Linked DNA regions of Arabidopsis thaliana. The protein of the gene in region 4 interacts with the protein of the main gene of each other region in a biochemical or structural test. Each region holds a gene or a part of one and is shown on either strand. Other genes may lie near its edges.

Evidence for each region.
Region 1: the proteins of REV (region 4) and ZPR3 form a complex in vitro, tested with the Arabidopsis thaliana proteins (2 studies listed by BioGRID).
Region 2: the proteins of REV (region 4) and ZPR2 form a complex in vitro, tested with the Arabidopsis thaliana proteins (one study listed by BioGRID).
Region 3: the proteins of REV (region 4) and ZPR1 form a complex in vitro, tested with the Arabidopsis thaliana proteins (one study listed by BioGRID).

The regions. Positions count from the first base shown.
Region 1 is NC_003074.8:19,555,703-19,562,969, forward strand, and holds ZPR3 (binding protein), read right to left. Parts: upstream 3,622-7,267; 5' UTR 3,210-3,621; intron 2,406-3,209; 5' UTR 2,393-2,405; coding exon 2,189-2,392; 3' UTR 1,814-2,188; downstream 1-1,813. Other genes in the region: PAP20 (Purple acid phosphatases superfamily protein), read right to left, coding at 5,823-6,006, 6,094-6,182, 6,264-6,594, 6,760-7,003, 7,142-7,267. UniProt on the Arabidopsis thaliana protein: Competitive inhibitor of the HD-ZIPIII transcription factors in shoot apical meristem (SAM) development. Acts by forming non-functional heterodimers. Part of a negative feedback loop. Involved in SAM development and lateral organ patterning.
Region 2 is NC_003074.8:22,496,375-22,502,661, forward strand, and holds ZPR2 (binding protein), read right to left. Parts: upstream 1,102-6,287; 5' UTR 1,069-1,101; coding exon 944-1,068; intron 846-943; coding exon 650-845; 3' UTR 501-649; downstream 1-500. Other genes in the region: DHDPS1 (dihydrodipicolinate synthase 1), read left to right, coding at 1-168; FLA10 (FASCICLIN-like arabinogalactan-protein 10), read right to left, coding at 3,199-4,467; AT3G60910 (S-adenosyl-L-methionine-dependent methyltransferases superfamily protein), read left to right, coding at 5,353-5,536, 5,655-5,768, 5,868-5,936, 6,032-6,051, 6,138-6,190. UniProt on the Arabidopsis thaliana protein: Competitive inhibitor of the HD-ZIPIII transcription factors in shoot apical meristem (SAM) development. Acts by forming non-functional heterodimers. Part of a negative feedback loop. Essential for proper functioning of stem cells in the SAM.
Region 3 is NC_003071.7:18,732,775-18,739,316, forward strand, and holds ZPR1 (binding protein), read right to left. Parts: upstream 1,568-6,542; 5' UTR 1,285-1,567; coding exon 1,058-1,284; intron 958-1,057; coding exon 774-957; 3' UTR 501-773; downstream 1-500. Other genes in the region: DHDPS2 (dihydrodipicolinate synthase), read left to right, coding at 1-93; AT2G45460 (SMAD/FHA domain-containing protein), read right to left, coding at 4,280-5,444, 5,631-5,755, 5,958-6,017, 6,111-6,209, 6,313-6,363, 6,451-6,542. UniProt on the Arabidopsis thaliana protein: Competitive inhibitor of the HD-ZIPIII transcription factors in shoot apical meristem (SAM) development. Acts by forming non-functional heterodimers. Part of a negative feedback loop. Essential for proper functioning of stem cells in the SAM.
Region 4 is NC_003076.8:24,393,383-24,404,361, forward strand, and holds REV (Homeobox-leucine zipper family protein / lipid-binding START domain-containing protein), read left to right. Parts: upstream 1-3,598; 5' UTR 3,599-4,351; coding exon 4,352-4,584; intron 4,585-4,892; coding exon 4,893-5,055; intron 5,056-5,172; coding exon 5,173-5,246; intron 5,247-5,324; coding exon 5,325-5,415; intron 5,416-5,506; coding exon 5,507-5,602; intron 5,603-5,689; coding exon 5,690-5,803; intron 5,804-5,885; coding exon 5,886-5,969; intron 5,970-6,044; coding exon 6,045-6,200; intron 6,201-6,288; coding exon 6,289-6,363; intron 6,364-6,444; coding exon 6,445-6,551; intron 6,552-6,634; coding exon 6,635-6,809; intron 6,810-6,896; coding exon 6,897-7,085; intron 7,086-7,170; coding exon 7,171-7,251; intron 7,252-7,336; coding exon 7,337-7,471; intron 7,472-7,553; coding exon 7,554-7,891; intron 7,892-7,979; coding exon 7,980-8,088; intron 8,089-8,165; coding exon 8,166-8,315; intron 8,316-8,392; coding exon 8,393-8,551; 3' UTR 8,552-8,813; downstream 8,814-10,979. Other genes in the region: AT5G60700 (glycosyltransferase family protein 2), read right to left, coding at 8,947-9,968, 10,046-10,716. UniProt on the Arabidopsis thaliana protein: Probable transcription factor involved in the regulation of interfascicular fiber (cortical cells) and secondary xylem differentiation in the inflorescence stems. Required for lateral shoot meristems (LSMs) and flower meristems (FMs) initiation.

The DNA.
Region 1 (7,267 bases), on a different chromosome or scaffold from region 4:
TAATTAATTCTGACGTCAGATGATGATGCCTTGCATGGTCTTCCAAAGAGATTTGGAGTAATCATAAATCGGACATCTCTAAAACTGAGATTTCAAAGTTGACTTCGAGTTTGCCTTGTTTTATGATATATGATGATTATTCATTTCGGCCAATTATATCATGATTGTTCTTCTTCGCCTCAAATTTTATTTTTCACACAAACACTTGAGTTCGATGCGACATCTTCCTTGTTTTTCTAGTCTATTTTTGTCGAACACATTTTGATATGCAAGAACATACCAAATGTTACTATTGATATTGCATCCGTATTTGCGATGTTTAAAATATGTGTTAAGTATATCCAAAACTTTTTGTCTATTTACTCATTACTTGTGGGAATTTTTCAAGTTAAAGTAAATTCTATTAAACTAGTATAATTATGACAGGATATAGTTACACATAGTTGACAAGAAAAGCTTATACAAGCAATTAAAAAAAAATGCTGACAAATAAACCTAGCTAAACATTTGTATGTCTATATACTCCTTACTTTATTTGTATTATTATAAATATCTATTTTACGGGGTTTTTTTTGCTAAAAATATAATTTTTATTATTCACTTATATTTGTTTTCCCATATTTCCACGAAATAAACTAAAGGACACATTGATGTATAACAAAATTAAAGGACACATTAAAGTATAGTGCTCCAATATTGGTATATCCTTAATTTAATAAGGTTTTGTTTATCGACCTCATATGAAGAATTTGATTTGTCATTATAAAATGTTTAGGAAACAAATTATTTTAAATCCAATTTGAAAATATTCAAGTTTTTATTGAAAATGTGAAGAATTGAAAAAAAAAAAGAAAAAAAAAATGTGAAATGACTTGATGTTTAGAAAGTAGTTGTAGGAAAAATAGAAGTCAAATAAAAGAGCAGAGAACTCGTAGTTTAGTTTTTCAAACGAAAATGAATAGTTTTTTGACTAATACTATATAATAATAACTTGTAGGGGTGTGTGTGATGGCGTCACATAGAATCCGAATGAAAAGCCCCTTGTCTCATCTCTCTGGACAGAGCCGCTTGAATCTCATGTCATGACACCTTCTGCCCTCCTTTTTCTTTTATTTTCTAAATGGAAAATATATATTCCAAACGAATATTGGGAAATTATTTAGTTTTTAAAAATTTAATTAATTAGTTAACATTTTATGCTCAATTCATCCATCATAACAAAAAAAAAAAAAAAATAGATATACACATTTAGAGAGTGACTGGAGTTTATAATTCATATTCAAACCCAAGAGTGTGTGTAAATTTGACGTAGCATCAATTTTGGTCTATTTAAAGCTATAGTATTCTGATATTATCCATTCTGAGGTTTTATCCAGTATTACTGTTGTTGAAGGAAATGATTTACATGACCAATATTATCAACAACTGGTTTGAACCATAATAATTAAATTGTTCAGATGCACATGGCATAATAATTAAATCATTTCAATTTAGAATGTTAGGATAAAGCTTTCATTGAACTTGCTACAACACATGTAGACTATATATACACAAACACTACTATTAATATTGTTTTTCTTCCTCATTTCCTCTACTCTAGTCTACTTGAAAATTACATAGACCTATTTATACTTAAGAAGTGTTTGCTAATCCTGATGAATAATTAGTGTCAATTCAACGATTCAGTTTCCACTTACTGTCTTACTCGATCGGAAAATATCATGGACAAAATGGGTCACTTTTGTTTTTGTATGAGATGATATATCAATATTGAATGCGTTTTGTATATGATTATAAAAATCGAATAACTTGTCCCCATGTTATATACGATACATTAGTTGATTGATATGCACTTGACAATATTTGATAAATGGAGCAAAGGTACAAAATGTTAGTCCAAGAATCAACCATATCCTAAAGTCCCCAACCCCACACCAGAGGATCTTTAATTAACATAGAAAATAGAAACAAAAGTAAAAATATGACTGAGAAGACTAACAGAGAGACACTGTCTTCTTGTAATAAAACAGAATCTTCTTTTCATAATAACTACTACAGTGCTCGATACTACTTATCTTCCTATAATACACCAAACAAAATAAAATACTTCCAAAAGGTTGGGTCTTCTTTTAATCTTCTCCTACGTACGGATTCGAGATCTCTTGCTCTAACGTATTCTTGATTTAAATCAAGATTGTCCAGAAGCAGAGCTTGATTTGTTGTCATTGTTTGATCCATTGTTAGAGTTCTTAGTTTTGGAGAGTTTCTGTTTGAGTTGAAACAAAAGCTGTTGGTTCTCTTGATTCAGAAGCTCAGCTTTCTTCCTTAGTCTCTCGTTCTCTTTCATTATGTAACAGTTTTCAACAAACAGCTTCGAGTTTAGCCTCTCCATTTCTGCTTTCTTGCTACAAGTAAAACAAAACAAAAGTATTATTACGAATTTTGAAAAATAAATGAGAAAAAGAGAGTAATAATATCAATAAAACCAAAGCTTGTGTTATGATTATTATTGTTCATGTTAAATCATTACATCACACATGGGTTGTGCAGCTTCACACGTCGGATGTGAATTACATTAGCTATAGGAAAAATCATTTGTCGCATTTATTTCGTTTTCATGTGAATTTCTTTTTCTTCTTTTTATGAAATCAATGATCAAAGAGAGAAGAAGAACATGATTATAAATTTGTATGGAGGATAAAAAGATAAAGCTAATAAAGAGAAAGAAATTGAAGAAAAGAGATAAAAACAAGTAATCATGATGATATATATGCAGTAATTATAAATGTTTTAACCTCTATGGACAGAGAGAGTAATGATTATATTTGAAACGCTAGAAAAAAACAGAGTAAGCAACAAAACAAAGATGGTGATCGTAGCAATACAGACTATTAAAAAGAAAAATCAAACAATTTTTTTTATTTATTTCGGTTGCCTCAAAGAAAAAGATAAAGATTAAAAACTTTCCATCATTGAGGAATATTTTAAAAGATGAAAAAGTTTTAACATAGAAAAAGAGAGAAATTAAGGGTTTGTCTTCACGTTAGTTGTACGTGTGACGTTACTACATAACTATTATCTTAACGTATGAACGCAAAAGCGATAGATAACAGAGCAAGAAACAGAAACAGAGCATGTCGAGAAAACTCACGTTAAGCTTCTAGAACAGTAAGAGAGTGAGAGAGAGAGAAGGAGAATAGAGGTTATACCTTTTGGGAAGGAGTGTTGAGAAGCAGAGATAACGAAGAAAGATTGAGAGAGAGAAGAGAGACGCTAGTTTGTGTGTGTAGAGAAGGTAGAGGGACAAAGAGAACAAAGTGAGACACTGTCTGTTATATAGATCCCCAAAAGCTAAAGAGAAAGAGAAAGAACCTTCTCTCTCCTGACACAACAATCATGCATTGTGTTGTGTTTCTGCATAGATGGCGGCCGCAAGAAGAGAGAGAGAGAGAGGAGATTTGTGCATATTGCGTCATGTGAATGATGATGATTTATTAAAGAGAAAGAAGTTAGAGAGAGAGAAGAAAAAAAAAAGGAGTTTTCTTGCTTGCTCTTCTTTCGAAATTGATCTTCAGGGATATTTTCGTAATTTCCGAAAGATCCCCTAGCACTTCCTTTGGCTCTTCATCGTATTCGTCCTCTAAACAGAAGATTCGGTTAAAAGAACTAGAGTAAGGGTATTTACGTCATTACGAAGGAAGTAGTACAGAGGAGGGTAATATTGTCATTTGTGTAGGACTAATGAGAGGGGCTATAGTAGAAGAGGCCATCGACCTCTAAAGATTCGCAATGATGGTAAAGATTGGTTCGAACCATCATCCTTCATGATTCTATTTCAACCGTTTTGGACCATTTTGTAAATGCTCTCTTTCCCCATCTCATGTCCCGGTTAGCTCAATCTTGGTTTAGTTCAAATATTACACTCCACCATTATTATGTTTTAGATTATTATTTCGGATACAAATAGTTTCCTTTGTGTGTTAAACTATTTGTTACTTTTTTCTTTGTATGAAAATCATAGTATACCACAATTTGAAAATGCATTTTTTTGTCCTCTTATATTGTCTCAGCATTCAAGATTTGATATAATTATGGTGGGAGAAGAAAAAAAGAAAGAAATAATGAAGAAGAAGAGTGTTTGGACTTTGGAGCCGTAAAACCTACAAAAAATAATCATGGATCAAAAGTGTTGTAGAACGTGAAACATCATAAACAGTGAGGTGGTTGTTTTTGGATGTATTTATGACTTCTCTTTTTTTCGTAACTTCACATGCCTTTGAATAAAACTCGTTCGTTTGCCCATGACTTAACCCCCAAAAAGAAGATGACTACAATTTCACGTTTATTTAAAACTACTTTGGCTTGTGTATATAAATCTTGTACGGCTTCTTTTAACCCTTCTTTCACGGAATAAATGTGAGAAATTGTGTTTTTTGTAAATATGCTGATTGTAGAAGTTAAACAAAACTGAAACACAATTAGTATTAAGTAGGTGTGTCTTGAAATGGAACTAAAGAGTGGGTACACTTGCTTACACCAAAGGCAATGATTTTAAAGGTGTGAGCAGCTTCATTTCTTGCTGGCCTATGCAATGCCGTTTCTACCCCTCATTGCTTTGGTCTAAGTTTGACAATTCGGTTTGGTGTTGATTTTTATTTATAAAATGAAACTTTAATTTATAAATATAGTTGGTTCTAGGATTAATTTTGGTTAATCATAACCCAGTCGGACCAATTTTCACACCCCAAAAAGGTTGAAAACTTTGTCTCTTTACCATGTAAATTTCAAAAACCTAAGAATATTCAAATATTCGGTTTTGGTAACCCCTATTAATGTAGTAAATGTTTGGTATAGAATATTAGATTACCATTCAGAGAAACTATATTTCGCTTTTATTAATTAATTGGAATTTTCTAGTTATTTTCTCCTTTGTTAATCTAACCTAATCTTTTTTGAACTTTATAATATAAACACAAACGAATTAAAAAAATATACCGTAATTTAACTGATTAAAAGTCTATATAAGTTTGTGTTTATATGACGTATATTTCATTTTGCTACGTACTACTGTATGTATACATTCATGTTGTATGATGGAGCATGCCTCTTTTGCACAAGAAAAGTACTGAAATCTCTTTATTTGAAGGAGTCCACATCCACCTCGAAGGCGATGTGCGCAGTGGTTCGATTGCTATACCCGAGATTGATTTACCGGCGATTGATGTCGCATCATCTGCTGCGTCGGTGGTGGCGGAAGAGTTAGGTAAATCAAATCTCACATAAATGATTCTCTGTTCTATTCTCCATTCTTCGTTCTTCTGATTGTTTTTTTAGGTTTTTGGTGGTTAGATGTTTGCGCCAGACGATTCAGAATTCATAAGGTGTAAAGTGTGTTCATATTAGACTGCATGCAAACATTATCATTGCACATCTTAACTTTTAAATAAAGGACTACTACAGATGTTTGGATGGACTACTACAGAAGTAATTTTCATTTAAATATGGATAAATATCGACGCTCACGATTCAACAAGCAAATCTAGTTTGATATGAATTAGCAATATGCAAAAAGTGATAAGGATTTGAAAAGTTGAAAAGCAACAAAGAAAATATAACAACTTAAAATATAAATGAGATATAATTCTTAATTGACTTGGTATCAAAACATTTGTGTCCTGTTTTGATATTGTTGTCAATACTCAATACTATATATAAGTACTTTTAGTATCTACGATTCTACATCGACATTTAACATATAATCTTATAGAATCAATGATGAGGAACAAGTCCTAACCACATTCAAGAATACGAACCGAGGGGGTCTAAATCTTACAAGATGAATCGGCTAAGAGACTGGTTAACCAAACCGAATCCTTTTCAACCGACACATCATCGTCGTTCCTGTGCCATTCCCAACGTGCATGAGTCGCATTCTCGACCACCAATTGACCATGCCCGAAACTTGCTTCTCTAAACAATGATATTTCGGGATTTGGATCTCTATACCTATGATGATTATCAAAAACATTAACATTTAATTAGTTTCATTTTCAAATTTTGTTTATAAAAAATCTCATTTAACGAAGATCTTACTTGGTAGCAAGGCCTTCTAGATTCCCACCATCTCCGATGTTAATATAAACCGGACCACATTTGTCGAACTTATCTTGGTACACTCGACTCTGTCAAATAAACACACAAATTAGCTCTATATATATAAAAAAAAATCAATGCAGTTTTTTAATGAAACCCTTTAGACTTACAAAACGCTCGTAAGCATGAACGTGACCTGCAAAAACCAAATCGACACGAGCTTTGTAAAGAAGAGTTTCCATGGATTCTTTCATCTCCACACTCTCTTTCTCTCCTTGGTGAGCTTCGTTGGAGTTGTACCAAGGCGCATGCACCACAGCCACAACCCACGGTGTGGTCTTACGGTCGATTTTCTTGAGATTATTTTCTAACCATTGGTACTGCTCCGAGCCAGGCTCAAAATCTGTGTATGACCCCAACATTATAATGTGGACTCCATAAACGTTGAAAGAATAGTACAAATTCGAGCTCGAGCCACTCTCTTCAAATGGCATGCGCCACCTGTAACGTGTATACAAAAATATCTAAAATTAGCATAACAAAGTTCTTTTAATAATAAAAAGTAGACCATAATAAAACTGATAAACCCAAAATTAATACAATAAATAAGGAGCTTAAAAAGAAAAGTAGGTTTGGTTGTTGGCTAGACAAATCGAAATAACTTACCTCTTGTTATAGGCGGTGAATGGGTTACTGTGTAAGATAGGTATTTTTTCGAGCTCGTGGTTGCCATGAGTGACCATCCAAGGTCTTTGGCTCGCAAGTGGCTGCACCAAGCGACCAAAAGTGTCCCACAGTGGTTGGTACATGTTAGCGTATGACAGATCACCAGGCAAGATGAAAACATCATAATCCCATTTTGATACATGTTCCAATGTTGATTTACTCCATTCAGATGTACCAAGGTCACCTTCATTTTTATCAAAAAATATCAAGATTATCAATAAAATAACAAATAAAGCTACAAAACCATGATGACATAAATCTATACTTACATAGGACAATCTAAAGAGTTTATATGAGTGAAGAGGAAACATGGAATGTATACCGGACACGGCGAATTTGATTGGGAATTTAGAGGGAGGAGTCCTGAAACTGAACTCTTGAGTTGAACTTGGGCCTCCACATTTGTAATAGTAAACTGTGTTGGGCTTTAATGGGCCTATAACAACGT
Region 2 (6,287 bases), on a different chromosome or scaffold from region 4:
TTAGGAGTTGCGAGGCCGGTTTTTCGGTTACCTTATGTGCCATTGCCTCTGTCCAAAAGGATTGAGTTCGTTAAACTGGTGAAGGAAATCGGAAGGGAGCATTTTGTAGGAGACAGAGATGTTCAGGTACTTGATGATGATGACTTCATCTTAATCGGTCGATATTAGAGTCTCTTCCCTGAAGATTGGTTGTGTTTATACTTTCTTCGTTCAGTTGTTAGTTATTTAGCTGATGAGAAACTCACAGATGGATCAAGACTTCTACTTGTTGTAATGTTTGGTCTGTTACTTTTGGTGATGAATCTAATGGCTTTTGCTTACTCTATCTCTCTCTCCCTCTCCTCTCTGGATGATTGTGTTTTGTCTTTGCGTGTTTGCTCTGTTGTATAAAACGACATGATGGTTGTCTGAGGTTTGGGTCGTCGGAAACATCTCTATCACGGATCGGCATATTAAGCAACGAAATTTTTTAGTTGAAAGTGATCATGGATATGTATGTTAATACTTGGTACATGAAAAAGAATAATCAAAGCTTTCATAGAAGAGTAAATCACCCATAAATCATTAGTTTGATTTTATTTTAGTACCATTAAAGGTTGGAAAAGGAAAGAAGAAGACGAGAAGAATCAATAAACAAAGTTCACGAAGATCACTGAAGCAAGGAGGTTGAAACAGGGGAGTATTTTGGGTGAAGCAGAGCAAACAGAGCATTGTTTTCATGGTGGAGAAGAAGAGCTTTCTTTTTTAAAGCTTCATTCTCTCGTATGATGCTTTGATTCTCTACGAAAAGCTTCAAGTTCCTCATCTCCATCTCCTTCTGTTCCTTCAGTAATCTTCTCCTCCTGCTTACAATGAAAAAGAAAGTACTGTTTTATATAATTCAGAAACAAAAATAGAGTCAATGTCTGAGGACGCTTGATATATGCGGAAGATGAAATTGAACCTGGTGAGATTAAGGATACGAAGATGGGTTTGTGTCTTAGATTTATGTTTGATATGGTACGAAGCAGATCTCATAGTTGGTGTGTCAGTGTCTGGGAATGGTGGCTCTGAAGTTGTCAGACACATCTTCTTGTGGTTTTATCACACAAAACGAACTGAGTAAACACAATGGAAGAGTAAGCTTTATATAGACGATCTATAAAGCTGTAGTTGTTTCTTTTGAGATAGAGAGTGATGAAGAAAGACAAGGCTTTTGAAGGTAATGATGGCAAAAGGAAACTCATGATTATAGAGGGGCCAGAGATATGCATGAGTTCAGGACGAAGATGATGAAGAAGAAGACCAAAACAGACTCTTCTCTTTCTCAGACTCTCTGTTTCTTGTTCTTGATTGAATAGTTACTGTACTAATAGTGCAAACTTAGTAGAAAACACTTGAGAGGTACATACGTAAATCGACCATACCAAATCATTCAATTTCATACTAATTGATTACTTTAGTTGTAATCAACTACAGAGAAAGATCACATGAAATTTGGACCAACTATGCATGTACTACAATTTGATTTTAAAAAGTTAATCCATAAGCACCTTTTATTTTCAAAAGAGGCTCAAAAGAAAACTCCTTTACCTTAATACCAAACCCATTTCAAAGGTCGAAGTCTTGGATTCGCGGTTTGGCATCTCGTGTTCAAACCAGGTTTCCCTCATAATTGGGGTCTAATTTTAAGGAAAAAACCTTGGTTCCAAAGAGACATATATCTTGTTCCTATGTAAAATGAAATCTAAGCATGTGATATGAATAGTAAAAAATAAATATAATTGATCTAAGGACTAGGACCACTATAAAACTCTTACTCATTTCTTGTGTTGATATTTTTTTTTGAGATGCAACCAAATTTGAAAGACAAACAAGAAAAGAAATAAAGAAGGGGGAAGAAAACTTATACTAATAAAGACTAAATTGCAAATTGTAGGAGCTAGTCAACATCCGGAATTATTATCATGCTTCAAAATGATCAAAGCTGTTATGATTCTCTACCTATATTATTTACTATTTTTAGACTAGGCATTGTCCACCACAAACAAAAAGATGAAAGTTATTCTTCATCTCATACAAGCTAAGGCATAAAAAACACAGAAGAAGGAATCATAAATAGCAAACGATTTCGTGGGTAATTTCTGGAGTTGCTACAATGATGAGTTTTGTTTTGATGCATACAAGTGGTCCATATCAAAATCACCACGCCCCTTCATTACTGCAAGATGGTACCATATGTGAATCTCTAACTAGAGTAGCACTCCCATGCATAATGCGTCTCTATCTATGATATGTAAATATTCAAATCTTTAAGCATTATACTTACATTGTCAACCACAAAAACATTATCAGCAATTCCTAGTTTCACAGATTAGGCATGAAATTTGAAGATTAAAAGAGAATCACCTAAAGGAATCTAGTTTTTCAGTTGCCAAGCATTAGAAAAAAGTGGTGAGGACTCCAGAAATTGTAGTTACGATAAGCTATGTTATCGGGGAAGGAGCTAGTTGATGTGATCCTTTGGATTTAGGCTCAGCTAGACGTTTAGATAATAGCTTGGCATCGAGTGGTTCAGACGCAACATTATCTTTCGTCTTCTTCCTTTTGACCAACATTAGACACCGTTTGAAACAATGAAAAAGGCGGGGTACTTTGAAGTCCAAACAGTCTAAAATGAGTGTCGTCTTACCAAACTAAAAACGACAGGCTGTGTTGATAACGTGGGCTCTCTTGGGCTTTGAATATAAGTTAATGGGCTTATATGAAACCTGTATTTTCTATTTTGAAAAGAAAGTTATAAAGGACGGTGTGGACCAGAAGACACTCTTCGTTTTCTCTCCACGTGGGATATCACAGGTTCAAGTTCCAACGGTCCATTTTTTTGGGTGCAAAATTCCAATGGTCCATTAATCCACGCATTTAATCTTACGACGTTGTTTAGCATAATTAATTAATTTGAAATTTAGAACAAATAAAAACGCAAGAGAACACAAACCACAAAATGGAAACTAGTCAATTAGAAGATCTCAATATTTCGACACTACTACAAACTAACACACCAAAACAAAACAATAACAATCATCCAATTCTAAATTAACTAATAAGATTAAACGTAAACCGTAACACTCTAATTCCCAGTTTTTAACAAACAGCATCACAAAGAAATAAAAACTCGTCGAAGGAAGACAATGGCAGTCTTCGTAATTAAGGTTTTGTTTATAACAAGAGAGATGTGGCGGCAATAGTGACCAATGCGGTGAACAACGCAGGAGCGTTAACGTGAAACGCCGCGTTTTTCGCATTACTGTTCTCTGAACTTGTCGGCGAGTCTGACGGAGCTCCTTCCGGTGAAGATTCATCCACCGGTGGTGCTGGCGGAGAAGCTGCGGTTGGAGAAGGTGCTTCCACAGGAGACGGTGACTTAGCCGGGGTCGGTGTCGGTGCACTCACTGGCTCCGGTGCCGGCGCCGGCGATGAAGATTTTCCGAAAAGCTCAGCGGGAAGGAGCACATTATCCACAGTGAATATAACAACAGGTGTCTCATCGACCACCGTGTCGGCGAGTCTCGACGGACCAACGCCGGTATGGAGAATAACCTCGTCACCGGAAGTTGACGTCGTTAAATCGTATTTACCGGCGCCGTTAGTGGCTAAAGTGGAGATAGCGTCTTTGTTAGTCTTTAACGATCCTTTGGGTTTGTATTCAGCGAGGGCGTGATACTCTAGGAGCGAGACCACCTCAGCTTGTGTGAGATTCGTCAGATCTGGTACACCTCTAGCTTTAAAAGCTTCATCGGACGGTGCAAAAACCGTCAAGCCTTTTTCAACGGTGGATTCGAATGTTTTAATAACACCGCTCGATACGAGCAAATTCGCGAAGGTTTTGCAACCGGCTTTCTCGAGAAGTCCGGTGATGTTGCTAACTCCGGCGGAAGAAGGAGCAGGTGCGGTTAAGATTCCGGGAGCGATGATCGGAGCGTTGATTTCGAGAACGGAGATGTTGTAAGGGATTTGTTTAACGGATTTGGTGTAAGAGGAATCGAGCTTGGAGCCAGGAGCGGCGGAGCCAAAGCCGACTTTGCCTCCTTTGAGATCGGTGACGTTAACGAATCCTAGGTTCCCGAGAGCGTGTCCGGTGGTTTGGTAAAGCGTGGTGGTGAGAGTTGTGCCTTTAGAGAGCTGATGGAGTTTTAAAGGATCGTAGTAGTCGAGGAGGACGAGGAGGCTGAGAGCATTTTTGACGACGGAGAGTGGGTGTTTTCCGGCGAGGGAAGACATTGCGCCATTGTTGAGAACAAGGACGGTGATTGTAGTGCGGCTGTTGATTTCGTCGGCGAGTTTTGTTTGAGAAAGGTAGTTGTTGAATGAGGAATATTCCGGCGTATCAGAGAGGATTTGAGTAATGTTATGGCCGGAGACGGTAGAAGCTACGGTGAGGAGAGATAATGTGAAAGCGAAGAGAGTGAAAGCTCGTGATGTCGCCATTGGAATTTGGAAGGTTGAGTTGAACTGTGGAGAAGAGAAAGTGAGAAGACAAAGAGAGTGATGAAGTTAATAAGAAGAAGAAGAGGTTAAATGTTAACCATGGTTATATTGAAGAGTTAACTATGGTTAATTTGAGAACACGTGCTGCTTCCTTTTGCTAAAAAGCCTGTAATCACGAAAATGGGTGGGCTTTGAGCTTCTTTCTTTATGGTTCGTCCTCTTCCAAAAGCAACCGAACCGAACCGTTATATCATTATCAATTTATCATCCTTGTTAGAGTTAACCATGGTCAAGTAGCTAACTAAAATTTGAGCTTATTTATGGATGCTCATTAGATAATCATCCAAAATTTTGTAAAAGGCACTCAGATAAAAAGGATTTAGATATTTTTACTTGACAACTAGTAATATCGTTAGTACTTAGTAGACTCATAAATAAGTGTCGTTATCAGTTTTAAATACTTGGTCAATAGTTGGTAACATCTTTTAGAAATGGAAAGAAGGTTCTAATTGCCCGACACAGCACTGATAAAGAAATTATTATTTTTTATAAAAACGACAAATCAAAATACGTAGTTTACTACTGTCATGTAAAAATCTGCAAAAGTTTTATCATTTGATTAGAAAAAAATAAAATAAACCTTCACAAATCAGTAAACTATTACTCCGTATTAATTAATGGGCGGAGATGAGGCTTTAATTCCTTACTTTGAGCCCAATTATGAGGCTAATAACAATGTGTGAGCACGTGTCACTCTTCAGCTTCACATGATTATGTATTGGGCCTGTAATAAGCCCAAACTTCGTAAGCTGGTCAAAAACAACGACGAAGAGAAAAAGCTCCGCCGCAGAATCTGAGATCGGATCTTTAGAGAGAGAGAGAAAGATGCAGAGGGACGTGTCGAGCTGCAACACTTACAACTATGGAGACGCTCTCTATTGGGACGCTCGTTACGTGCAAGACGCGCTTTCTTTCGACTGGTACCAATGTTACTCTTCTCTCCGCCCTTTTGTCCGCAGCTTCGTCTCTACTTCTTCACGAGTCCTCATGGTTGGCTGTGGCAACTCCCGTAATTCTCTCTCCTTTTGCCAATAGATTTGAAGAAGTCTGTACCAGTGATTGAATTTGACTTGAGCAGCAACCAAATTTAATACACTGTGATTGCCCTGTTCTTCTCTTTGGTGTAGTGATGTCAGAGGATATGGTGAAGGATGGGTATGAGGACATCATGAATGTTGATATCTCTTCAGTGGCTATTGAGATGATGCAAACCAAATATGCATCTGTTCCTCAGCTCAAATGTAACACTTCTTTTCACATCTCTAGTTTATATTACTTTAGCTTTAGAAATATGTAAAGTAAGAAGCTTTATCCTATTATACTCTGTTTTTACCCAACAGATATGCAAATGGATGTTAGAGATATGAGTTACTTTGAAGACGATTCCTTTGACACTATTATTGATAAAGGTATGTTGTAGCAACCACCAATTACTCTGTTTTTATGGTGAAAAGCTTAGAAGTGATATATTGTTACCTGTTGTTGCGGCTGCTGGATTGTGTAGGAACCCTTGATTCATTGATGGTACGGAACCTGATCTTTTGTTTCTCGTGTTCATGTCTACATGTGTTTTTAAGTTTTCTTGTTTTGTGTGATACGGTGGGTTCCAGTGTGGCAGTGATGCTCTTCTAAGTGCTTCGAGAATGTTGGGTGAAGTTAGCAGGTCACTAATATCATCATGGCTGCTCCTGGATCATCTCATATAGATGCCAGTTTTTGGATTCTTTTTTAATATATATATTCTCAATAAAACTCTTCTC
Region 3 (6,542 bases), on a different chromosome or scaffold from region 4:
CTGGTGAAGGAGATTGGACGAGAGCATTTTGTGGGTGAGAAAGATGTTCAGGCTCTTGATGATGATGATTTTATCCTTATCGGTCGATATTAGCATACTTTTTTTTTTTTAATTTTTGGTTCCTTTTTGTTTGGTGTTAATGAAGAAGAGATGGTTCTATCATTTGGTTTTATGTAGCTGATGAATGAATGAAAACTCAAGGAATGATTTCATCATATTTCTTAGCTTGTTTTGGTCTCTGATCGTTATGTTCTGCTTTTATACTCTGTTTTACGGTTGCCTCAAAGGAGGGAGATAGAAACGGCACGCATGTTTGATAATATTGTTTGAAACAGCATGGCTTTGCCATCTTGGAACGGTCACGGCATCGCCATGTGAAAATCATTAATTTTGTTGGATACTCGGAATCCAAAAATTTAATATTAAGGTGATTTTCTACGTTGTTTGGGGTGCCCACGTCACGTGAGATGTTCGTGCCAGCTGTGTAAATTTCTCCTCCATTGAGATTAAAAAGATTAATATCCAAAACTTTGAATAAGAAAGTAGATTAACCATTATTTAACAAAAGAACTCAGATACAAAGATTACAAAGAGATGACACACTAAAAAGAAGATAAAAATTAGATGTATACCCACTAATAATAACTAAACCCTTGCTTGTAAAACCCAAATTTTTCTGTTTTTTTTTTTCTTGGAGCCTTGAGATCTTATTATTATTTCAGTAAAGAAAGAAGAATATGATGATCTTAGTGATTGGTGATGATGGTAAGATTTTATTTATGGACAGAGGAGAGTTTTTTGGTCTGAAGCAGAGAGAAGAGAGTTTTGTTTTCTTGGTGAAGAAGAAGAGCTTTCTTCTTAAGTTTCTCGTTCTCTCTTATGATGTTTTGATTCTCCACGTAAAGCTTTAGATTGATCATCTCCATCTTTTTCTCTTCCCGCCACATCCGTCTCCTCCTGAAAAAAAGGAAAAATAATAGTGATTCAGAACGTAATTACATAGTCGATGAGAATCTCCTAGAGGGGGTGTATATATGATGATGGAGATTGAACTAACCTGGAGAGACGAGGGATACGAACGTGACTTTGTGTTTTGAGGTATAAAACTAATCTCGTGGGTGTGTCTGAAAATGTTTCTGAAGAACTTAAACACATCTTGGAGCTTGAAGAGAGAAGAAATGAAGAAGAGAGATAAGTGAGACGTGTTTGATTAATGGGTGAGATATAGAGAGGCGTTATATAGATGAAAGAAAGTTTGTTGTGAGTTTTGTGTTCCCTTTGCATTATTCGTTTAAAGAGAGGAGAGAGAAGGCTCCTTTAGAAGGTAATGATGGCAAAAGAAGAATCATGATTACAAAGGGACAGGGAAAAATGTGATGAGGGAGAAGATGAAGTTGAAATTTTGAGAGGATGAAGAAGAAGAACATGTATCACAAAAACTGTCCTTTTCTTTCTCTCTCTCTATGTATATCTTATTTGTTTTTGACTGATTGATTAGTTAAATGTGTACTATTTGGAAGAATTTAGGAGGTTTCCCTAAAAAGCTCAATTCACCGTTAAAAGGTACGTACACACGACATAAGAAACTATTCAATTTTGGTTTATAACTTATAATAAGTTTTGTTTGTTTGTCAACTTAATTACATTGGTGACGGTGGCATGAAGGCTTAAATCAAGGTGACAGTTTGTCAATTCTGCGTAACATTTGGCTATATTGATACCTCAACAATTATACTTTACAAATAAATTCGTTCATATCTACAAAATGCTTGTAGTAGTAATTTATTCGGTCGGAATGCGCTCATACAAATATTCGGTCAGAATGCGTTTACGGTTAGACTTAGACATACGTATCCCTTTTTGTGTGTTCTTAACTTCAATACCGTTACACAATAACAATAAATGGTTCTTTTTTTGTTGACAAAGTAAATAAATAAGAAAGTGGTTTTATACCGTCTATGTGACAAGATTAATCCAAAATTACTACAATAAAAAGGATAGGATTCATATATATGCTATTCGACAATTATCTGAGTTTATGAAGTGATTTGGCAGATTTCTTTGACTGCCAAAAGGTCAAATCATGATTATTTAGGAGCCAAAGAAGTCAAAAAAGGTTTAGAGTACGTCAAAACCTCGATCTTCCTTACAAGTACAAGTGTTTCTCTTAACTTTTTAAATCACAAGTCTTTGTCTTTTTATTTCTTTTTCTTTCATTTGTGTTTTCGGTTTACTATTTGCTTTTATGAATCCTAATCCCAACAATACCCTTATTTTTCAAAAGGGGAAAAAGATTACGTACCCGAGCATCCAAGGTAGAGAGTATAAATCAAGAATTTTCAAACCGTTGAAGTCATATCTAATGATGGTTAATCATTCCGTTAAATACACAACAAGACTTAAGTTCTAAAGTTGATTTATAATTTACTTACACCCATGTGTTGTCGTTGTTCCCTGTCCAATAGTTTCTTCTACATGTTGGATGAGTAATCTTAAGATTTTTAACTAATGAACACTCACTTTTTCTTTTCTTTGGGCAGTAGACTAAATTTTTAACGATAACACAGATAACTTTTGTTTTGGTCATTAGAGTTTATGGTTACGTGTTAGAATAATATGTTTATTTCAAATGAAATCATACTAGTTAAACACTTTTTTTTGGTAAAATCTATAAATTATATACAAAAACATGCAACGCAAAGCAACGGTAAGAAGAGGGAATCATGGCTCGTGATGGGTCACGTGAGATAGCGAGGTTTTAGGGAATGGTTTCTGAAACATCGAAGGAAGAGGAAAAAGTGTAAAATGGATACTACCGAATCGGGTGCAGTGACTTTACCAATATACGCAAATCTATATTTAATTTGTATATACATACATACATGTAGTAGTAGTAGTATTGGAAAAAGTCATGGAGTACTCGAGTAGGAGAAGAAGCAAAAGCCAAAGCACATTTAATTTGGAAAACGAAACCACCGATTTGGCTTCTTCTTCCCACAATCATCATACCCATTTGCCATAATAACCCCCATTCCCCACTCGACGACGATGGATTCATTCATCATCATCATCATCATCAACCATCATCATCATCATTTGCATTATGAATTTTGTGGGCTATTTTTTCCACTCTTCAATGCTCAAACCCAAATTCCACATGCACATGCCCAATCCCCTTCCTCTTCTTATAGCCCAATCAATAATACTCTCCATATTCTCCAAACTACAAATTTATTTTTTACCAAAACTATATTTACCATCTTGTATTTCTTTAAAATCCAGGAAGAAAAAACACACTTTGAAAATAGTTTCATGTGGTACATGTATAATATAAAGCTAAAAAACTCATAACCATTCAATAGAAATAACAAGCTACTCATTGACAAAAAAAATAAAAATAAAAAATCTACTCATTACATGTATTGATGATATATATGGAGAAAAAAAGAGAGAATAAATTGATGAGGGCAAGGACTAGGACCACTACAAATTCTACTCATTTCTTGTATTGATATATTTTCATAGAAACCATAATGCATAGACAAACTAGTAATAAGAGTCATCAATGGAATTGGAGGTGATAGTCAACACCGAAATGAAACCCCATCCACGCTTCGTTCTAAAAAAGTGTTCAAAACTTGTTATAATGTTGTTATAACTCTATTATTATATCAACTATTATTTATAGCCATCCTTTTGAGTATCCCATAGACAACAATGGATCTTCTCAATCAAAGCTAAGAATTTTTACCACTAAAGAGATCATAAAAATGACAAGATATTGATTAGAGTTTGAAGGGTAAGTTTTGGAGTTGCTACTGTTTCCAAAATGATGAAATGGTTGTAAAAGGAGCTTCTCTTCCTCCTTTCACCATCAAAGCCTCTCTTTTAATTTCAGATTAACCATTGATGATTCCTCTGACTTACTCTTTCCGCTGTCTATTTTTAGCCCCATCTCATCTCTAGCTTAGCCCTCTCCATTCCTCTTTCATTCAATTTTGATATCATTGCATCACATTATGGAAATACTTTGTTATGAAATAGACACATCTTAATCTTTCAAAAATTTTAATCACTTCGTTTAGCTCTGCATTCCACGCCAATTACAACTCGTTTTGTTACAAACCTTACCATTTGACCTGCGTTATCTACACCCTACTTCTAATGTAAACGACAAAATGAGCCCGGTGTGTGCGAATACAAAACAAAGAGGGATTTGGAAAAGACTGTAAAATCATGAACATGTTACTCATAATAAGATCTTGAAACGGGAATCATGCTAAGTAGCTTTATCGTCTTCGTCCATGGTGTCCACTTGTTTCTTCTGATCCCCATCAACTTCATGGCTTCTTTCTGTATCAGGATCCGACGAGAGTGATCCCTTGTCATCATTCATATCAGAACCCTCTGTATCAGAATCTGAGACAGGATTGTGTTTTTCCTTCTCATGATCATCATCAGAGTCAGAACAACTCTCTGTCTCTGAGTCCGAACGAGTACCATGTTTTATCTTCCCTTGATCAGTGATCCCCACTGGCTCGTTAATAACTCCACGCTCTGCATCATCCTTGTTAGTGACCAGGACCCCTGGACTTGTCGGTTTAGTTTGACTTTCCCCTATCTGACCAGCAGAATCCTGTACTATGGTCACTTCCTTGATTTTTTGAGTCTGACTCTCTTCATCTTCTCTACTTCTTTCAGTTTCGTTTTCTCCATGTACAGAAGGATTCGTGCTATTAGCCCAACTCCCCGCAACTTCAGAAGCTAGAAGATCCGACGTCCCTATAGTACCTACTCCCTCTATGTCTTGAGTATCCCTTCGATCGTTCGGGTTCCTTAACAAGAGAACAGCTCCTTCAATCTGAACACTTTCATGTACCTGAGTTTCACAATCTATTTGCATTGTATCACCAGCTAAAATAATAGACTTCCTCAGATGATCATTTCTCTCATAATCATTTCCTGGACTTTGAGTTTCATTGACTTGCTCTGTTCCTACAGGGTCTGTTCCCGAAGTGGGTGCTGTACCAATACCTTCTATATCTGAGCCAAAGCCACCCTTTGCAACTTTATCAGAGCTTGGATACTCTGCTTCTTGGGTGTTTTGGCCTTCCTGACTCATGATTTCACAATCATGCTTTTGGGTAGCATCTGCATCCTCACATGACGTATCCACAACTTCATTTCTGGTAGACCTTTGCCCTGAAGTGGACGAGCTTGCCCTGGCAGCAAAATTCAAATGGGAAGTTGCTCTTTTATCTCCCTGCGTATTAGCTCTGTTGGGACTTCTGTTTATTGGATTAAGATCAATATCTAGTGAAGTATTGTCACAATTATCCTCATCTTCTAGAGTTCTCTGCATAGTCTTGAGCTGTTCCTGCTGCTTTGCAAACAAAGCCGAGATCTCCTCAGTCGTAGAATAAAATGCCCGCATCTGAGTTTCACTGCATGAAGATTCCGTGTGTCAATAGTTAGACCAATCAAATTTGCGTGAAATGAATCTTAATAGTTTAAGGCAACATTTTACTTGACGGTTGAAGGTGTTAAACAGAAAGTAGGTTACCCAACCAATCATACACACTAGAAATAGCAGCCTAACGTTATTATACCATGCATGCAAATGTTCTTACCGGAGCATGATTCTTTCCCTTGCACCACGGTGTCTCTGTCTTTCGACGTCAAGGTCTCGAACAGCAGCACTTATCTCTAGTTCTAAGGCAGACACTTTCGCCCATGCTTCTTCTCGAGCTGCCTGCTAACATAACAAAGACAGTCTCAGCTTAAAAATACAATGGAGACTACGCAAAAAAAGATTTTAGCTACATGTCCACAATCGTTAAATTAAAAGCATGGCATCATATTTTCGTAGCAGAAATCAGAGGCGGGAACCAGAAGCATGTCATTAATGGAAAACTGGGAAAAAAGTTTAAGGCGCACAAATTTGTTTCCATTCTTACCTTTTCACTGTCCAGATCCTTTTGCAGTCTTTTTACTTGAAGGTCAAGTTCTTCCAGTTTCTGCTCCAAAAGATTTTTTGTGCACCCGTTAGAACAGAAATAAAAGAGAGAAACCATGCAGAATAAGAGGGAAATTGCATTCAGGTCACGTACTTTTTGTGCATCAGCAAAAGCAAGCTGCTCCTCAGAAACTTGAGCTTCTAGCAGACGGTTTCTATTCTCAGAACACACCAACCTCTGCCTTGTATCTTCCTATAAAACACCACAAAAATTCTCAAATGACAAATGGTAAATAATTTGAGTACAAGTTTTTGTGATCAAGAGGCTAATTGTGAAATAAATTAGAATAACATACCAATTTTGACATCAATGTTTCGACTTGCATTGACTTTTCTTTCTCTGACTCCTAAAATATTTGCCAAGTAAACTTGTCTTATTCGAAGGACATAATAATGGGAAAAATTAATTCATACACAACTAAGTCTTTACATACCTTCATTTTGTTGATTACTTCTTGTTGTTCCCTCTCGTGTCTCATAGCAGCATCAGAAAATCTTTTCAATTCTTCCTGAGCTTCAATTTGGC
Region 4 (10,979 bases):
GTGAAAGAATCAAGCACATGGGTCGCTATACTACAATGTGAAATTGTGAATTAGTATCATTATCAGTATTCAGTCATAACTAACGACAAGTGTCTCAAAGTTTGAATCAACCTAGAAAATCATGACAAATGAAAACCCCATAAAAGCAGCAGATTTATGAATGATAGTAACAATCAGATTCATATACATAAAACAAATCTTGGAAAAAAGATATAGCTAGTTAGTTCAACTAATTAATAGAAACATACCACTTCACAGATCATCAGATCATACAATTATTTTGACCATAGGTGAATCATATTATGATCAAGTGAACTCTACTGACAATCAAAACAATATTTTGGAAACAGTTGTTTAGATTGTGTAACTACAATCAGTAAGTTTGATATATTTACTAATATTGTTTCAGCTCTGTTTACCTATTGTGCACTATTTGAATGAATCTTACTGATTATATACAGACTGATTATATAATATGAATAATTATGACAAAATACATAAGTTAATTCTATAATAAAGTTATTATAATCTGATACAAAATCAGTTGAATACTACTACTAAAATTATACTATAATAAAGAGATAAATGGGTGTAAATGTGTGGTCAGCACGTGAGAGTTACTTTTGGCGCATGCGAAAAGCTGATGGAAATACCACATCGTCAAAACTTTTCATTTTATATTATTATACTGAAATAGTGAAATGGTCTCAAATGAAAAAGTAAAATAAAATTGTGTTCAAATGATCTTAAAATGTATTTTCTTTCGGCAAGTTGAAATTCTTATTACCAAATCAACTTGCTTAAATAGAAATTGAGTATGGTTGATTAAATAAAAAAATGTGTGAGCCAAAAACGAGAGAGAATGAAATTGTGTATTTTTATGGTTGAACAATAAAAATGCGTTAAATACATTTAATTTTGTTACAAATTACATTTTTCTTATTAATTTTGGGCTTAAACATAGTAATTCTTAATAAGTGACATTTGATAGATATCACATACATGATCTTTCAAATTTGTTTTTGCTGTATCAGTTTTATTTGATTTACTGTAGTAGTTTTGTTTGTTCTTCTTTTTTCACACAGTTTATTTTACTGTTATTATTCAGAGTTTTAAGTATTTAAATGCACAACATATGTATCAAATGAAATGAAAGATAAATAAATATATTCTTAGATTAACATGTACTGTAGAAAAGAATTTGGACATAAATAATAGATATGTGGTACAACAAAAAATAATAAATAAATAAAAAGAGAAGAGAAAATAGTGCGGCGATGGGTGACGGATAATTGAAGACTGAAGGGAAAGGTGGGCCCTACCTGAGCGCGCCATAAAAGAGACGCAGATTGTCTGGATTTAAGGAACCATTTTTTTATTTATTTCTTTTCCATTCTCTCATTTTAAAAAAAACAAAAATCTTTTGGGCAATTTTTCGTAAATTTGTTTTCGTTGCGAATTGGTGATCCAACAAAAGGAAACCAAATTTCTGAAAATTCAAATGGGAACACTTAAAGTATAGTGCAATTGTATTCAAACTGACAAATTAATCATTAATTGTATTAGAAAATGATATATTGTCATCGTGACTAATTTGTCTTTTGAATTCAATTGTAACTACTAACTACTGGTTTTCATTTTTCAGATTATTTCTCGGTTCTTAAAAAGAAGAAAACACATACCTAATATCGTGTGTATCAAAAAGCCATGTGCGAGCAACCATCTTCCTTTGTAAATTTGACCCTTTTGTGTATCATTTATATCGAGTGTTTGTAATTGTTGGTTGATTTTGTGTTATTTGAGAGGCTAGTCATTTACGCAATTTCTAAATTTATCTTTTAGTACGTATCAAGATGTTGGAGCAACTGTGTCCAACATACATGACATGTGAAATTATAATTGTTAAAACAAAAGGACATGTGAAATTACTATCTACTTAAAGAAAAAAACCAGAAAGAAAAAAAGGTATTAAATTTGGAACTAAAAGAAGGTTAAAAAGTTTTTTACAGAAAGTAATTACACTTGCAGATGAAAGAAAAAAGGCAGCATCATGATATGTAAAAAATTGTCGAAGAGGTTTAGTCGTATCACTTTGTTTGACTGATCACTGTCTTCTGATTCATTTTTCAGTTTTTCTTTTTCAAATTGTAGCTCACAACATTAAAGTTATTCACTGCTTTAATCAGATAGTTTAATACTAGTAACTAGCTCATTTAGGCTTTAAACACCTCTTTCTGATTACTAGCCCACTCTTTGGTGGTTCTTACATATCACACCTAACTATACTGTGTATCCTTGAAGTGAAAATCAAATTTACCATTCGTATCTTACTTACATACACTATTATTTTTCCTTTTTTTTTTCACTCAAGGTCCTACTCTTTGATACCATAGCTATAATTTGGAAATAACTATTTACAGTGTATTAATTATACCTAAACAGTTTAATCTGGACTAAATATTTAGATAGATGTTACAAATTTGGTTCGTCTAATAAATGAAGACAAGACATGCTAACAAATAAAACACTACCACAAAGGGATAGTGAGAGAATGTGTTTTGCAACAAGACATAACTTTGATTGCTTGATGTGTTAAAATGATTATGTCAGAGACAGAGAGCGATCATAGGCTTTCTTTATTTCTAATAACGTCGATTTTCTTCTTCTTTTCTGGCGTTCAATAATGTCGAATTTTAATTCTTGATTTTTGCAACTCTAAATATCCTTAACGACATTGAAGCATGGTGCATGTCGATCGTTAATAATAAAGTTGAACAAAAATCTTGTTGAATTAATTACAAGCACAGCTTCAATAGCATAACTTTACGAGACGACCAGATCTTATAGACGAGTTTCGCTTTTACTTTTTTAATGATTAAAACTTTCATCGGAGAACATAAGTCTTCCTCTTAATTAAAATTACTACCCGTGCATAACTTCATTTTTTAAAACATCAATAATTAATATACGATTACAACCCTAAAAATTAGTCACCCTATAGTACATAACAATGATGATAGTTTTTTCTTTTTGGTGTAATGTTAAAATAAAATGTTAGCCATATTAAACGATAGTTCTTTTAACTTAGCCATTGTAAGATATTTCTTACTTTAGTTTTTCCGTAGAAGATATTCATTATGGTATGGATAGTATATACCTTAACTGAGTTTAAATATTGGATCAATACCATCTAATAACACATATCTGATGTTCAATACTTAATAATTTTGCATAAATGTTAAGCGTGACAACTTAAAAAAAAACACATCAACAGAGTAAAAACATATCTGTTAAATAAGAAAAATGTCATTTTTATAACACTTAAAAAAAAATGCATGAAGCGTTTCATAGTTTTTTTTTTTTTCAAAGTAATGTAGGCGTTAGATATTTCTTACAATTTTTTGAAAAATATTTTTTATGTTGTGATTGGCTGATATCAGGTAACTAAAACTTCTTTAAAGAATTGAAGAAAATTTGAAAAGTAAATAGATGGATTCCTATATTGTCATTTCAGAAAAACAGTAGGGACAACTTCGTAAATGATAGCCGTATTATTAAACAAATAAATTTAAATTAGAAAAAAGGAAAAAAACGCACCACTTTTCTTTTTCGCTGATGCACAGCTTGTCGGTTTGCGTGCAAATCCTCTGTTTCACAATTTTTTCTTCTTCTCTTTCTCTCTCTTCCTCTTTTATTCCTCTGTTCCAAAGTTCAGCAGAAGCAAACACACACATCACTTACTATCTCTCTCTCCTTCTTCACTTTCTCACATAACCAAACTCTCTCTTTCTCTCTTTTTTTTGAAGTCTCCTTTGAAACTATAATTGCCCTTTAGTGTTGTTCGTTCAGAGTCTTCAAAACTTTTGCAGCTTCAATTGTACCTGGGTTTCTTCTTCATTGTTCCTAAGGTTTCTGTGTCCTTCAATTCTTCTGATATAATGCTTCTTTAAGAGAGTTGACATCATCACTTTCTTGGGGTACTCTTCTCTGTTTCTCCCCAGAAAATCCAACTCTGTAATTTTGGGTCTTTATTCTGTTTTTCTCTTTGAAGAATCTTTAAAATTCTCAGATCTTCTGAATCTCTCTTCTTTAAAACTTTTTTTAACTTTATTTTTTGTACTCGCTTCTTTGCCTTCATTTTTCTCGTATCCACATGTCGTTGGTCTTTCGCTACAAGCCACGACCGTAGAATCTTCTTTTGTCTGAAAAGAATTACAATTTACGTTTCTCTTACGATACGACGGACTTTCCGAAGAAATTAATTTAAAGAGAAAAGAAGAAGAAGCCAAAGAAGAAGAAGAAGCTAGAAGAAACAGTAAAGTTTGAGACTTTTTTTGAGGGTCGAGCTAAAATGGAGATGGCGGTGGCTAACCACCGTGAGAGAAGCAGTGACAGTATGAATAGACATTTAGATAGTAGCGGTAAGTACGTTAGGTACACAGCTGAGCAAGTCGAGGCTCTTGAGCGTGTCTACGCTGAGTGTCCTAAGCCTAGCTCTCTCCGTCGACAACAATTGATCCGTGAATGTTCCATTTTGGCCAATATTGAGCCTAAGCAGATCAAAGTCTGGTTTCAGAACCGCAGGTATTGCTTCTCTTTAATATGGCCAGGATTAATTTTTAATTAAGGATTTTGAATTTGATTCTATTGGATTTAGTGTGTTATATTCAATGGATATGAAGGACCACTTTTGTTGTTATTTCAAGATTTGATGCTTCAATTCAATTCTCCGACACAATTTCCTGTTTTTACAAAAGGGTTCCTTTGAATCTGTCTGGTAGATTTGGTTATTCAATAGCTTGGTGTAACTGTTCTTGTGACGATATGGTTACTGTCTGATCTGGTGTCTAATCTTAGGAGTTTTGTTGATTCGTTTTGTTGTGTGGTTTCAGGTGTCGAGATAAGCAGAGGAAAGAGGCGTCGAGGCTCCAGAGCGTAAACCGGAAGCTCTCTGCGATGAATAAACTGTTGATGGAGGAGAATGATAGGTTGCAGAAGCAGGTTTCTCAGCTTGTCTGCGAAAATGGATATATGAAACAGCAGCTAACTACTGTTGTATGTAACTTAACATTTCCTTTTGTCAAATGTGTTCTTAAAGAATCATTTGTTACTCCTATCAGTTCAACATGTAGCTTGAGTTATAAAGTTACTGACTTGTTGTTTTAACTTCAGGTTAACGATCCAAGCTGTGAATCTGTGGTCACAACTCCTCAGCATTCGCTTAGAGATGCGAATAGTCCTGCTGGGTAAAGTTTCATTTTTGGTTTTGAAGTAACCTTTTTCTAATCTTTTTTCTTTGCCTAATTGCTTGGTTTTGGTCTTAGATTGCTCTCAATCGCAGAGGAGACTTTGGCAGAGTTCCTATCCAAGGCTACAGGAACTGCTGTTGATTGGGTTCAGATGCCTGGGATGAAGGTTATACGCATCTCGTATCATTACTTAAGTGTTATTTTATCTGTTGATATCTATGGCAATATGTGAAATATTGAAATGTTGTGTGTTGTAGCCTGGTCCGGATTCGGTTGGCATCTTTGCCATTTCGCAAAGATGCAATGGAGTGGCAGCTCGAGCCTGTGGTCTTGTTAGCTTAGAACCTATGAAGGTAAGAAAGGGACACTCTTTTCGTTGCTAAAGATACAAGTCATAATGTTTCATTTTCAACCAGTTTGGGTTTTTTGTGTTCTTACAGATTGCAGAGATCCTCAAAGATCGGCCATCTTGGTTCCGTGACTGTAGGAGCCTTGAAGTTTTCACTATGTTCCCGGCTGGTAATGGTGGCACAATCGAGCTTGTTTATATGCAGGTGAATCCTTTAGCCTCTTCTGGTTTAGTTTTCTATCTCTAACACTTGAAGATGAATGAATAAAGTTGTGACATTTGTTCAGACGTATGCACCAACGACTCTGGCTCCTGCCCGCGATTTCTGGACCCTGAGATACACAACGAGCCTCGACAATGGGAGTTTTGTGGTATGCAGCTCTCATAATGTCTAGTGTTTACAGAAAAACTCTGGGATCTTGATGTTTTTCATATGTCTTTAAAAGGTTTGTGAGAGGTCGCTATCTGGCTCTGGAGCTGGGCCTAATGCTGCTTCAGCTTCTCAGTTTGTGAGAGCAGAAATGCTTTCTAGTGGGTATTTAATAAGGCCTTGTGATGGTGGTGGTTCTATTATTCACATTGTCGATCACCTTAATCTTGAGGTACTTAAATCTTCACATGTGGCATTTTGTGTGTGTTTTCAGGAATTTCTAGAAGAATTGATTATAAACATTTGTTCTTGCATTGTAGGCTTGGAGTGTTCCGGATGTGCTTCGACCCCTTTATGAGTCATCCAAAGTCGTTGCACAAAAAATGACCATTTCCGTGAGTGTATACATATAATAACCTTAAGCTTTGATTGATTCATATAACATATCTAACGGTTGGAGGTGCTTCATGTTTTAGGCGTTGCGGTATATCAGGCAATTAGCCCAAGAGTCTAATGGTGAAGTAGTGTATGGATTAGGAAGGCAGCCTGCTGTTCTTAGAACCTTTAGCCAAAGATTAAGCAGGTACTTCGATCTTGAGCTAAAACCTAATTGTTCTTTGCTCTGTTTGCTCATTGTCATTTTTTCTGTTCTTGGTTTTCTTGAAGGGGCTTCAATGATGCGGTTAATGGGTTTGGTGACGACGGGTGGTCTACGATGCATTGTGATGGAGCGGAAGATATTATCGTTGCTATTAACTCTACAAAGCATTTGAATAATATTTCTAATTCTCTTTCGTTCCTTGGAGGCGTGCTCTGTGCCAAGGCTTCAATGCTTCTCCAAGTAAGTTAGTGTGTCCAGTATTGGTACTTTGTGTTCTTTTGACAGTTTTCTATGGCTGAAATTTGTGTTATCTATTGTCTTCTGTAGAATGTTCCTCCTGCGGTTTTGATCCGGTTCCTTAGAGAGCATCGATCTGAGTGGGCTGATTTCAATGTTGATGCATATTCCGCTGCTACACTTAAAGCTGGTAGCTTTGCTTATCCGGGAATGAGACCAACAAGATTCACTGGGAGTCAGATCATAATGCCACTAGGACATACAATTGAACACGAAGAAGTAAGGCTTCAAAGTCTTTACCTGCCGACAAAACATCATTTTTATGTCTCTCTCTTACATATATATTTGGTTTTGTTATGTTTAGATGCTAGAAGTTGTTAGACTGGAAGGTCATTCTCTTGCTCAAGAAGATGCATTTATGTCACGGGATGTCCATCTCCTTCAGGTATATCACTTCTAAGTTCTAACCCAATGGATCTTGAAATTTTTACCATTTCAAAGTTAAAATTGACCTTAATGATTTATGGTAGATTTGTACCGGGATTGACGAGAATGCCGTTGGAGCTTGTTCTGAACTGATATTTGCTCCGATTAATGAGATGTTCCCGGATGATGCTCCACTTGTTCCCTCTGGATTCCGAGTCATACCCGTTGATGCTAAAACGGTACTCTTCTTTGCTGTACCACTGATTTTTCTTTTACTTAGAGATGGTTTGTTTCAAGGCTCATTTTTTCTTACTCATACAGGGAGATGTACAAGATCTGTTAACCGCTAATCACCGTACACTAGACTTAACTTCTAGCCTTGAAGTCGGTCCATCACCTGAGAATGCTTCTGGAAACTCTTTTTCTAGCTCAAGCTCGAGATGTATTCTCACTATCGCGTTTCAATTCCCTTTTGAAAACAACTTGCAAGAAAATGTTGCTGGTATGGCTTGTCAGTATGTGAGGAGCGTGATCTCATCAGTTCAACGTGTTGCAATGGCGATCTCACCGTCTGGGATAAGCCCGAGTCTGGGCTCCAAATTGTCCCCAGGATCTCCTGAAGCTGTTACTCTTGCTCAGTGGATCTCTCAAAGTTACAGGTGGGGGTGTAAATGTTTACTCTCGTCTCTTTCTTATAATCCTCGAACTTATCGATGATGCCTTATGCTGATATGTTTGTTTTTCCAGTCATCACTTAGGCTCGGAGTTGCTGACGATTGATTCACTTGGAAGCGACGACTCGGTACTAAAACTTCTATGGGATCACCAAGATGCCATCCTGTGTTGCTCATTAAAGGTATGTGTCCTACACCAAACAAAAAGCAGAATACACCTGTAGTTTTAGACGTATAATATGGTCTGGATATGTTGCAGCCACAGCCAGTGTTCATGTTTGCGAACCAAGCTGGTCTAGACATGCTAGAGACAACACTTGTAGCCTTACAAGATATAACACTCGAAAAGATATTCGATGAATCGGGTCGTAAGGCTATCTGTTCGGACTTCGCCAAGCTAATGCAACAGGTAAAGAACCAAAACAAAAACATCTGCAGATAAATGGTTTTGATTCATTTGTCTGAGAACTATCTTTGCGTCTACAGGGATTTGCTTGCTTGCCTTCAGGAATCTGTGTGTCAACGATGGGAAGACATGTGAGTTATGAACAAGCTGTTGCTTGGAAAGTGTTTGCTGCATCTGAAGAAAACAACAACAATCTGCATTGTCTTGCCTTCTCCTTTGTAAACTGGTCTTTTGTGTGATTCGATTGACAGAAAAAGACTAATTTAAATTTACGTTAGAGAACTCAAATTTTTGGTTGTTGTTTAGGTGTCTCTGTTTTGTTTTTTAAAATTATTTTGATCAAATGTTACTCACTTTCTTCTTTCACAACGTATTTGGTTTTAATGTTTTGGGGAAAAAAGCAGAGTTGATCAATCTCTATATATAAAGGGAATGATGTGATAATTTTGTTAAAACTAAGCTTACAACATTTTTTCTATCGCATTTGACAGTTTCATTTTCACATCTCTCGCTATATATTAGTAATATAAACTATTTCAAAAAACAAAGAATCAACAAGAATCCACAGATGTAAGAAAGAAAAATCACAGCCAAATAACTTTTTTATTTATTTGGCCGTTAGATAAAACTACCTTCAGAATTTCATGCATCTAGCCGGTAAACCTGTCTGATGATTGACGGCGACAATCTCAGAGACATTGTTGCAACGAAGAACATCTTGACCAAGCTTAGCTCCTGCAGCTTTAAGACCTTTAAGCGAAACCGGCATGTTGAAGAGATTGAGTGATGGAAGCTTAGAAAGCGGAGGGAGTTTCTGGTTCGGTAAGAAGTTTCTGAAATCATCCATAAGCAATGGAACTTCGAAATCGGTTTTGTTGTGTTTCACCACATTGTCTTTAGCTGCGATGTGAGCTCCTGGTTCCATGTGGTTGGTTGAGAAGCTTGATTGGTTAGGGAAGTTTGGGTATAGACTAACGTATCCTCTCAGGTACATCATGTCGATTAAGAATTTCTTCCATGACGCTTGCCAACCGTTGGTTCTTGATTTCGGAATCTGAACCGGGTTAGCTTTCGCGTTCTCTGTGAATCTCATGTTCATGTAGACATAGAACTCTCTCCATTGCTTTGGGAAGAAAACGGCTCCCCAGCTGCATGGTAATTGGTGAAGGTAAGGTGTGTGAGGATGGATTTGCTTGAAGAAATCTGTTGGGTTCCATTTGGGTCTCTCTTTGACAACTTCAACGATTTTGGGCGTGTAAAGAGAGATCGAGGAGAGTTCAGGGAAAGAGACTTGAGGGTCGTAGTGGTAAGCAAGTAAAGCGTATTTGATCCAGAGGAAATAATATGGAGAGACTTCAATGTCGTCTTCAAGCAAGAGACCAAAATCATCATCAGAAGCTGGATACCAACTCTCGCTCACAGCACGGATTAAGCCTCCTTGGATGATTCTTCTTCTTAGTGTTTTTGGTCCATGAGGCCAATCGAATGTGCTCACTACATTGATCGTCTCTTCATCCACTTTGCTATCCATGTTGAAGCTGAGTGATATTTCGTCACCAAGGTAGTATGCATTGCTCAAAGACCTAAGCAATCTTAATAAAGATTGAGCTCGGTTTTGGGTGATGATGTTCACTGAGACTCTCATCTTATTCCAGTCTGAAATCAAGACATTTGTCAGTTTCGGTAAATTAAAACTGGAAAAGCTATATTAAAGGCAAAAAGTTGATACTTACTTGGCAATGCTGTTGATCTTAGATCAGCCATCCAGAGAACCTTGGAGATAGAAGCTCTCGGTAGAAGAACCAATGCGGTGCCATTAGAATTAGTCTCGGTAGCCATTTTCAAAGCTTTCTTGACATTCGGATCAGCATCAGCTACCGTAATCACCACGCTTGGATTATGAATCTTAATAAGCCCTTTCATGCTCGAATACACAGCTTGAAATACAGGCACCTCTGAGTTCGACACACCCAAAATAGCCCCAACTTCCAAATCAAAAATCTTGAATCTCCTCTCCTTACAAACAACCTTAGGCCACCTCAAAGCCGACGCCGCATCCTCACACGGACAGAACTTCCCACCCGAAACCGCGATATAAGCCTTTTTACCAACAGTACCTCTAAACTTCTCCAGCAAAGGACCAAGTGCTTTAACTTCATCAATCGAATGCGCGTAAAACAAAGCATCAATCTTCTGAGGATACATTGCAGCCCATTGAGTCACATAACCCGTAGAAAGCGCTTTCCACCACTGGTTATCTCTTACTTCAACAATGTTTTTAAATATCACAGTAGTCTCAGACACATAAGCTAACCTGTGTTCACTATCTCCCCAAGTCTCCTTATCATTTGGATCAACGGGAAGAACAAACGAACCTGCATTTCTGTATTTCTGAAGCTGATAACTGCAAAACACACACAAAAAAAATCAAAACCACAATTATTACTTCATAACAAAAAAAATCCATTTTTATAACTTTTCCCCAGAGAATTTGAATCTATTTTTTTTTATAATCATGAAACAAAACATGTGATTCAATTACTCTCACGAAGATCATCATCTTCTAGACGTTACTACAATGATTTTAGATTATTCTATTAAAAATATAAGTTTTTTCCGTTTTTTTAATGATCAAGCTATTCTCAAACATTGCCTTATTGTACACTC